Linked DNA regions of Oryctolagus cuniculus. The protein of the gene in region 1 purifies or fractionates together with the protein of each later gene. This does not show direct contact. Links are inferred from orthologs where the notes say so. Each region holds a gene or a part of one and is shown on either strand. Other genes may lie near its edges.

Region 1 (3,989 bases):
CCATATAGAGCACCTGGTCCAAGTCCCAGCAACTCCACTTCCAATGCAGCTTCCCGCTAATGGGCCTCCGAGGCAGCAGATGATGGCTCAAGTACTTGAGGCCCTGCCACCCACATAGGAGACCCAGATGGAATTCTGGCTCCTGGCTTCAGCCTGGCCCAGCCCCAGCTGTTGTGGGCATTTGGGGAGTAAACCAGTGGGTTCCTCTTTTTGTCATTCTGCCTTTAAATCTTTTTTTGAGAAATTGTGGTACAGTCATCCAGTGGAATACTATACATCAAAAAAGAATATGTTAACATGAGTGAATTCCAAAAATACAAGGCATGCAGATTGCAAGCCTAAAACATGCGAAAGAATAGAACTGAACTAGTTTATTGAAAGCAGGGAGAAAATAATACATTATCAATAGGGTACTTACGTATGCAGTTAAACTGCTGTTTTAAAAGCAAGGGAAGGGGCCAGTGCTGTGGTGTAGTGAGTTAAGCATCCACCTGTGGTGCCAGCATGTCATATGCGTGCCAGTTCTAGTCCCAGCTGCTCCACTTCCAATCCAGCTCCCTGCTGATGGCCTTGGAAAGCAAAAGTTACACAAGAAACTTTATAAGAAGTTTAAATAATTATGTCCATAGCAGAGTGCCTAGCTCAAGACCCAGAATTCAATCATGGTCTGTCACATGGGTGTTTAGACCCAAGTACTGGAGCCATCACCTCTTGCCTCCAGGGGTGCACATTAGCAGAAAGTTGCAATCAGAAGCCAAGTTGACTCAAACCCAGACACTCAGATATGAGATGTGGGCATCCCCAGCAGCACCAAATGCCCACCCTGTGGGCTTCTTAGGAGCATTTTGTTCTCTGTATTTAGGGAATGGGAGGAAGGAACTGTTTTACAGTGCAAAAGTTATTACACAAATTTAAAACACGTTCATAATTTAAATTCCAATTTAAATAGCACTTCAAATACATTTTAAAGCTCCATAAATTCGAGCTGAGTTGCAGATACGCAATTCTATGCAAAAACACATAATGAAACAGAATTCTGTCCCAAATGATAGTAACAGTGCTTTGCCAGGGTGGGAATGGGGTGGAAAGGGGACTAAACATTAACAAAGGCTTCTTTCCCCCATGCGATTTGCCAGGAGTTGAAGAGTTGTGAATCTTGAGCAGATCTGATTCATGTTCACCTTGCATTTGCTATTCCTCCTCACTCCCATATCAACACATCGCTTATCCAAGGGTACCGCAGGAAGTTCGTGGAAAACGGAATCGAAAGGTAAGTTTATTATGGAGCAAAAAGTGTCTGAACTCCACGCATAATTCCATTCTCCACGAATTTTCTGAAGTACCGTCGTTTGTAAGCAATATCGTATCGAATACATAACGTCCGTATGTGGTCACGATCTACTTCCTTACATCTTGTTTCCAAAGACGCCTGGCGCACTGGGAAAGACTTCTGCAATCGTTTCAGCCAGTCATCTTTCCCTATCTGGGGAAACCTCGTCTAGGTGAGCTTTCCACTACATTCTCGCCTCTGTACTCAACCTCTAAAAATTTAAACTTTACAGTGCCTTTGCTTCGGAGGGAAACCCGCAGCGCCTACTTCGGCCCCCCAATGGTTACCCCGGGAGTTCCAGCTCTGCGCACGCGCAGAGCCACTTCTACGCCGGGCGTGCGCAGGAACCTTCTCAGCGGCGGCGTGGCCGCTTCCGCCCGGCGAGTTTTGCTCGGGGCACGCAGGAGGCGGGGCTTGCCGGACAAGATGGAGTTGCTGCAGGTCCTGAAGCGGGGGCTGCAGCAGGTCAGCGGCCACGGCGGCCTCCGGGGCTACCTCCGAGTGTTTTTCAGGTAGGCAGCGGGAGCCGTGCTCGTGGTCTCCGGGACTTGGACTTGTTCTGGTTGGTTTCTTGGAAGGGGGCCCAAAGTTGGAACGCCTTTCAGAGCCGACAGTTGTGGTCAAGGACAGCTGGCCCAGTCTCTGCTTTGCAGCCCCCGGCCCAAGGCCCCGAACCTCCTCGAGACGGGGCCGAAGCCACCTCTAGAGACAGCTGTGACACGGACTGGGGGGCATCCGGCCCCTGGAGACTAAGTAGCATTACCGTTCACTTGGTGACCTTGGGAAAGTTTTTTCCCTGTCCTGGCCTTGGCCTCCAGTTCCTCTCTATGGTAAGGCTCTGAAAGAAGTGATCATGGTGCGCCCTACAACACCCTATCGTCACTGATCCGGTCTGGGCAGCCTGCTCCGCAGAAACCGAATTGGTGACCCTGAGTGGAATGGAAGAGCCAGGACACCTCGTGTCATTTTAAGAAGATGAAATACTTTGGCCTCCGGATATCTTGACGGTTTTGCTGCCTCCAGTGTCTCATGGGGCAGGGAGAGCAGATGAGATTTGAAAATAGTGCATTTCTGTTGTAATTTAAGCACGTTCCGTGTCTCCGTTTACCCTTTCCGGTTCTGGCTGCCTGACCCTACCACGAGTAGGGGAGCTGTCAACCTGGCGGCTGATTCTTCCACAGTGGGTGCCGAGAGCCTGGCGAGGAAGGCTAGCCGGCCCAGCAGTGACCGTGCCCACCCAGTTTCTAGTTGATGAGGCCGACTTGGGGTCAGGGAGTTGTATTCTCGTTTGTGTTTTGAACAAAGAACCACTCTAAATACCTGTTTTCTTTTGTGTATTCACAGGGCAAATGATGTGAGGGTTGGTACCTTAGTGGGGGAAGACAAATACGGAAACAAATACTATGAAGACAACAAGCAGTTTTTTGGTGAGTGTTGTATTTTTTGTCATGAACTATTGGATTGGGATTTGATTTGGGTGTTTTTTCCATAACAGTAGGAACGTTTACAAAGCACTTGGAAATGAGTGAAAAACTCAATAGAAAATGGACAAGAAAAACAAACTAAATGGCCACCAGAGGCATGAAAGATGCTTATCCCCACTCACAATTACAGGAATGCAACTTCAGAAAAGTGTTATCTTTTTTTCACCTATCAAATTTCGAAGTATCTCCCAGTGCGAGGAAAAGCATAAGAATACATCACTTAATGCTGTCTTTTTAGACAACAATTTGGTAACACATACAAAAAAAAAAAATTTTTTTTGACAGGCAGAGTGGACAGTGAGAGAGAGAGAGACAGAGAGAAAGGTCTTCCTTTTGCCATTGGTTCACCTTCCAATGGCCGCTGTGGCCAGCGCACTGCGACCGGCGCACTGCGCTGATCCGATGGCAGGAGCCAGGTGCTTCTCCTGGTCTCCCATGCGGGTGCAGGGTCCAAGGACTTGGGCCATCCTCCACTGCACTCCCGGGCCATAGCAGAGGGCTGGCCTGGAAGAGGGGCAACCGGGACAGAATCCAGCTCCCCGACCAGGACTAGAACCCGGTGTGCTGGCGCCGCGGGTGGAGGATTAGCCTAGTGAGCCGCAGTGCCGGCTAACACATACAGAATTTTACATTGGGTATATCCTTTCTCTCAGTACTTCTTCCAAGAATTCAAGCTATAAATATTCTTGCAAAAACAGAAATACCCATTGCACCATGATTTTAGTAGTAAATTCTAAAAGTAGCTTTAGTGTATTATCAGTTGGGTACTGATAAATTTGCACATTTCTTGTTAATGTCTCTAAACCTCAGTTTTCTCATCTTCAAGTAGAATGATCATATTTGCCCCAGAAGGTTGTATTGAAAAACAGCCATTTAGCCTGTGGTTAAGACAATATTGAAGATGTGTGTGTCCCATGTGGGAGTTCCTGGGCTCAGTCCTCAGCTCCATGTCCTAATTTTAGCTTCCTGCCAGTACAGACCCTTGGGAGCAGGAGTCATGGCTTCAATAATTGAATCCCTGCCTGCCACGTGGGAGACGTGGATTGAGTCCCCAGCTCCGAGCTTCGCCTTGGCCCAGTCCTGGCTGCTGGGAGCATCTGAGCAGTCAGCCAGCAGATGGGAGCTCTGCTGCTCTGTCACTTTGCCTTTGGAATAAAAAATGAAGAGTGAGTGGC
Region 2 (4,270 bases), on another chromosome or scaffold:
TTTCAAGCCCAAATACCTTCTCACTTATATCTTACACTGCTCGAGATGAAAATCAGTCATATCCTTCAACTGCACAAGTCCCTAAATTTCTAAGTGCTTTATTTCCTGAAATTACAGCTCCCAAATTGACCGATTAGTTTTTCAACTCTTCATTGCACAATATTGTCAACTGCAGACAATAACTGACACATGCTGTAACATATTCTTTACCTTTTCATTTCCCTGAATTCTCTGATTTCATCAGGGATATTGTCTTCTGATTCACTGAGATAAGTGTTTGCCCAAATGTTCCAGCACTGCACTATATATGTTGCCATACTTCTGGCCTCAAGTAATAGTTACCTTGTGACCTATTTGTCGGCTAGACCTGAATCCAACACTACCTACTTTGGGACTGTTGTGATGACATGTCACCACACTTTCAATGCCAGATTCTACTAGAGCAGGCTAGGCTATGTTCCATCAACAAACGACTACTCTCAAAGTTAGTTTCTTACAACAGTGGAGACCTATTTCTCATTCTAACACAGGTCCACTGCAGGTCAGCACGGGTTCTGCACCCAGCAGTTCTCATCCTGACACCAAAGATAACAAAATAGCCCCCTGTCTAGAACCCTGTGACCTTGGGGCAGAAGGAAAAGGGGAACTACGTGTCGGCTCGTAACACTTACGCTTACATATGACACATGTACCTTTGACATCTGCTAATAAATCAAACTTCATCCCAACGAGGCGGATGAGTGACATCTCTCTCCAGGAAGAGGCGGTATTCAACATCATCTACCACATGTACCTACCCTTACGAAAACCTAAGTGGGCTAAGTGGAAAAGAGCACCGAAAATCCATTTTAAGAGTGCAAGCTCGGGGCCGGGGAGAGAGTGAGAGCCACGTCACGGAGGACCAGGACCCGCAGGCGTAGCGGACACACTGACAGGACTACCGTCCTCTTCGAGTCATTCACCAGCTCCTAACCTCCGCCCCGCGAGCGGCAGTCTCAGGCAGGAAGCAGCTGCAGTCTTCAGAAACCGCAGCCGCTGACCTTCGCGTCCAGAGACACGACCCGGCCTCCCGGCGCGCGGCGTCCGGCAGCCGGAGGCGCGGCGCTGCTCCCTCAGCGACGTCCAGGGCCAGGCAGCGCGCGCCCGGCACGCGCGCCCCCAGCACCTCAGCGCGCGCCCGCGGCTGTCAGGCGCCGCGCGAGAGGCCCTCGCCCGCCCGCAGGCCTCGCGCCTCAACACGTGGCCTCTCAGGAAAGTGCCTGCCTGGTCGAGCGAAGGCTCGTGGAGCCAACCCATGAAATTACCCGTCCAAAATACACACGGAGCAAGAAGGAAGGCTGATTTTTCGCTCTGGCGTAGAATGGTCTTGCCTGGGCTGGTGAGGACCGACGGTGAGCCGCTGTGTGGAAGCAGGCACTGGCGAGGACAGCCGCATCCGGGCCCTCCCGCCGCAGGCTGCCCTCCGAGCCAGGGGTCCTTCAGGTGGGAGGTCCTGGGTGACTTTGGAAGTCCTCACTGCCGTGGTGTGGAGACTGTGTAGTCCCGACGTTCCGGGTTTGTCTGTCTGTCGTTGCGGACTTGGGAGTTTTGCTGCAGTTATGCTTCGCCAGATCATCGGTCAGGCTAAGAAGCACCCAAGCGTAAGTTCGGGACGTCTGGCCAGTGGCTTTGGTTGGTCTTGGTGCGGCTGCTCTGTCCCCTGGGAGCGTCCTCCCTTTCCGGGCACCTGCTGTCTGCCTCGGGGCCAGACCTTGCCTCACCTTACGCTGCGGTTCTGGTTGTCCCAGGCCCGTGGGCTGTGAGCCACGCCACGCTTTGCAGGCTCTTGGCTGACGGGCCGAAGGTGAGGTCCAGGGTTGGAACAGTCGGGACAGTCTCGCGCGGCCCTTGTCTCGTGCGGTCGGTGCAGCAGGGACAGATGGATTAGTGACCCCCTGAGGGACCTTCCCTGTCATGCCTCCTCTGGAGGGTCTTGTATTCACCGCATTGCACCACCAGGCCCTGTGGCAAGTACGAGGGGCCCAGGATCTTGGTGTCTTTACCTTCTCTGGATGCCTTGACATTTTGGGAATTTGTAGCGTGGAGTTTACTTGCAACTTCTTCTGTGTCTCCTTTTCTTCCAGCAACCCTCTGTGGGCCTAAAATTGAATTACGCATTCATTAATCTTACCTTAAGCCCAGTTCCCTACTCAGAATTGGTAGCAGTATGTTTTCATAGATGATGCTCACAGCCAGTATTAGCAGTAGACATACTTCTGTTGCAGGCTCCTAATTTCACAGAGATCTTGGTTTTCATACATCTGGTTGGAGGGACACTTAAACAGTTTGCAAGAGCTGTTTTTTCAAACCTCAAAGGACCCATAAAATTTAATGAGAATGATGTGTAAGTATTAGGTGAAAAAACTTGGTACCTCTGCAGATGCAAAAACTACTGTAAGCTCTTGTAAGTCAATATCTAGGTACTTGAAGATGGTAGTTGATTCTTGTCTGTTTTGTGTTTGTTTCTAGTTGATCCCCCTCTTCATATTTATTGGAGCAGGAGGTACTGGAGCTGCATTGTATGTCATGCGTCTGGCATTGTTCAATCCAGATGTCAGGTAAGTAAAAATGTTCAAAACTGTGATGGTTTATCAAGCTGGTTTAGGAGCCAGGGTTTTTGTTTGGAGACAGTAAGTACTAGAACAAACCTAGATTTTGTGACCATGTAGTAAGTTCGCATCCCTGTTTTGTTGTCATTTACTTTTCCTGACTCATGAACTTGTAGTTTCATGTTCTTACTGGTATGGTAGAATTGCAAATACCAAATTTTATAAGAATGTTTTGAGGATTGACATATTGTTCTTATGCAACACTTATATTTTCTGGTACATGCAAATATTTTTTGCCTGCTTTTCCATAATACATAATGTTTCTTTTTGTAGTTGGAAAATAATAAATGAGGTTCATTTAGCTTTATTCTCTGTACTTTTCTATGTATTGCTTGACTGATGATATATAAATGTTTAAGTTGTACTCTTTTGATGGGAATGGGGACAAGGACACCTGCCCCAAGAGACTCTCTTACCATTTTTATAATTGACTACATAGGGCTGTTTATTATAGAACTCATTGCTGTTTTGACTCCATAATGAAGGTAACAATATACTGTTTAGTGGAAAATGAGATAGATCCATTCAAAATACTAGCTTCCTAAGTACAAAACATTATTTTAATTGGAATGATTACCGTAACAATTATAATGTTTCATTCCTTGCAGTTGGGACAGAAAGAATAACCCAGAACCCTGGAACAAACTGGGTCCCAATGATCAATACAAGGTAAGCTACTGTTGTTACAGAATTGTTGGAAAATGTGTGGCGATAAATATTTATGTGGTATTTTTCTCTGGAAATTGGATATATAAGTAAAATTCCTTTACTTTGAAGACTTGCTAGATTGCTCTTGAAATTAAAATGGTGTATTATTTTTATAAATACTTTTTTCCTAGGGATTTCATTTCCAGTCTTTAGATGTTGGATATGAAATTAAGATAATGTGTCAAGTAAACTGTTTTGACTGAGATTAAAAGGAAAAAGATATTTACCATTTTTTAGTTTCGAGATAGTCCGGTGCAAACTTTGTTGTCCACAGAGGTTTTCAAAAGGAGAATTTCTTTAGTTCTTCCCTCAGACGTGCTGAGTCAGTTGGTCTGTTGTGGGCACTGAGGATTTGTATTTCCAGGAGATGCAGGTCCTCCATGGGCTATACTTTCAGTATTACTAAACTGTTGGGTGGTTTGGTTTGGGTATGATTGAAGTTTAGTAAGAAAAAATGAAAGTCATGTGAAAGTCAAATTTTACCTTGAATTCCTAAATAAGCCTTAACTGTCTACCTGAGTGTTCTGTGGAACCACTCTTCCTTAGAAAGATTTCATGGACTAAGTCCATGTATTGATTCCCCAACATTATTTTCCTTATGTGTAAAAATCTTGCATACAAATCCTTTCACAGTCATAGATTTTATCATATTTAAGTATTGAATACACATACCAAACATTTCTACCTGTTTAAAGTGTGTAGCTTGACCATGCACTTACATCGAACTTCTTCATCAAAAGAGAGTAACTGGAACTTTGCTTTAGCACTCTTGAATACTGCCCTGACCAGTATGTATCCAGGACCTCTTAGCAGATATATGAAATGGATATTCTCATTACTGCTTACAGCATATTTTTAAGATCAGCCTTTTTGTCCAAGTTTTCTACTTAACTTGATTGTAACTTAACTTGTAA

Evidence for each region. The genes of interacting proteins can lie anywhere in the genome.
Region 2: the proteins of NDUFA12 (region 1) and NDUFA4 purify together in Homo sapiens (affinity purification with mass spectrometry; 3 studies listed by BioGRID and IntAct, with this or other methods). This does not show direct contact. The link is inferred for Oryctolagus cuniculus from reciprocal best matches to the Homo sapiens genes NDUFA12 and COXFA4.

Annotation. Positions count from the first base shown.
Region 1 is NC_091442.1:97,982,590-97,986,578, reverse strand, and holds the start of NDUFA12 (NADH dehydrogenase [ubiquinone] 1 alpha subcomplex subunit 12), read left to right. Parts: upstream 1-1,189; 5' UTR 1,190-1,270; intron 1,271-1,562; 5' UTR 1,563-1,609; coding exon 1,610-1,842; intron 1,843-2,674; coding exon 2,675-2,757; intron 2,758-3,989. UniProt on the Homo sapiens protein: Accessory subunit of the mitochondrial membrane respiratory chain NADH dehydrogenase (Complex I), that is believed not to be involved in catalysis. Complex I functions in the transfer of electrons from NADH to the respiratory chain.
Region 2 is NC_091447.1:35,093,111-35,097,380, forward strand, and holds the start of NDUFA4 (cytochrome c oxidase subunit NDUFA4), read left to right. Parts: upstream 1-1,470; 5' UTR 1,471-1,598; coding exon 1,599-1,640; intron 1,641-2,508; coding exon 2,509-2,597; intron 2,598-3,256; coding exon 3,257-3,407; 3' UTR 3,408-4,270. UniProt on the Homo sapiens protein: Component of the cytochrome c oxidase, the last enzyme in the mitochondrial electron transport chain which drives oxidative phosphorylation.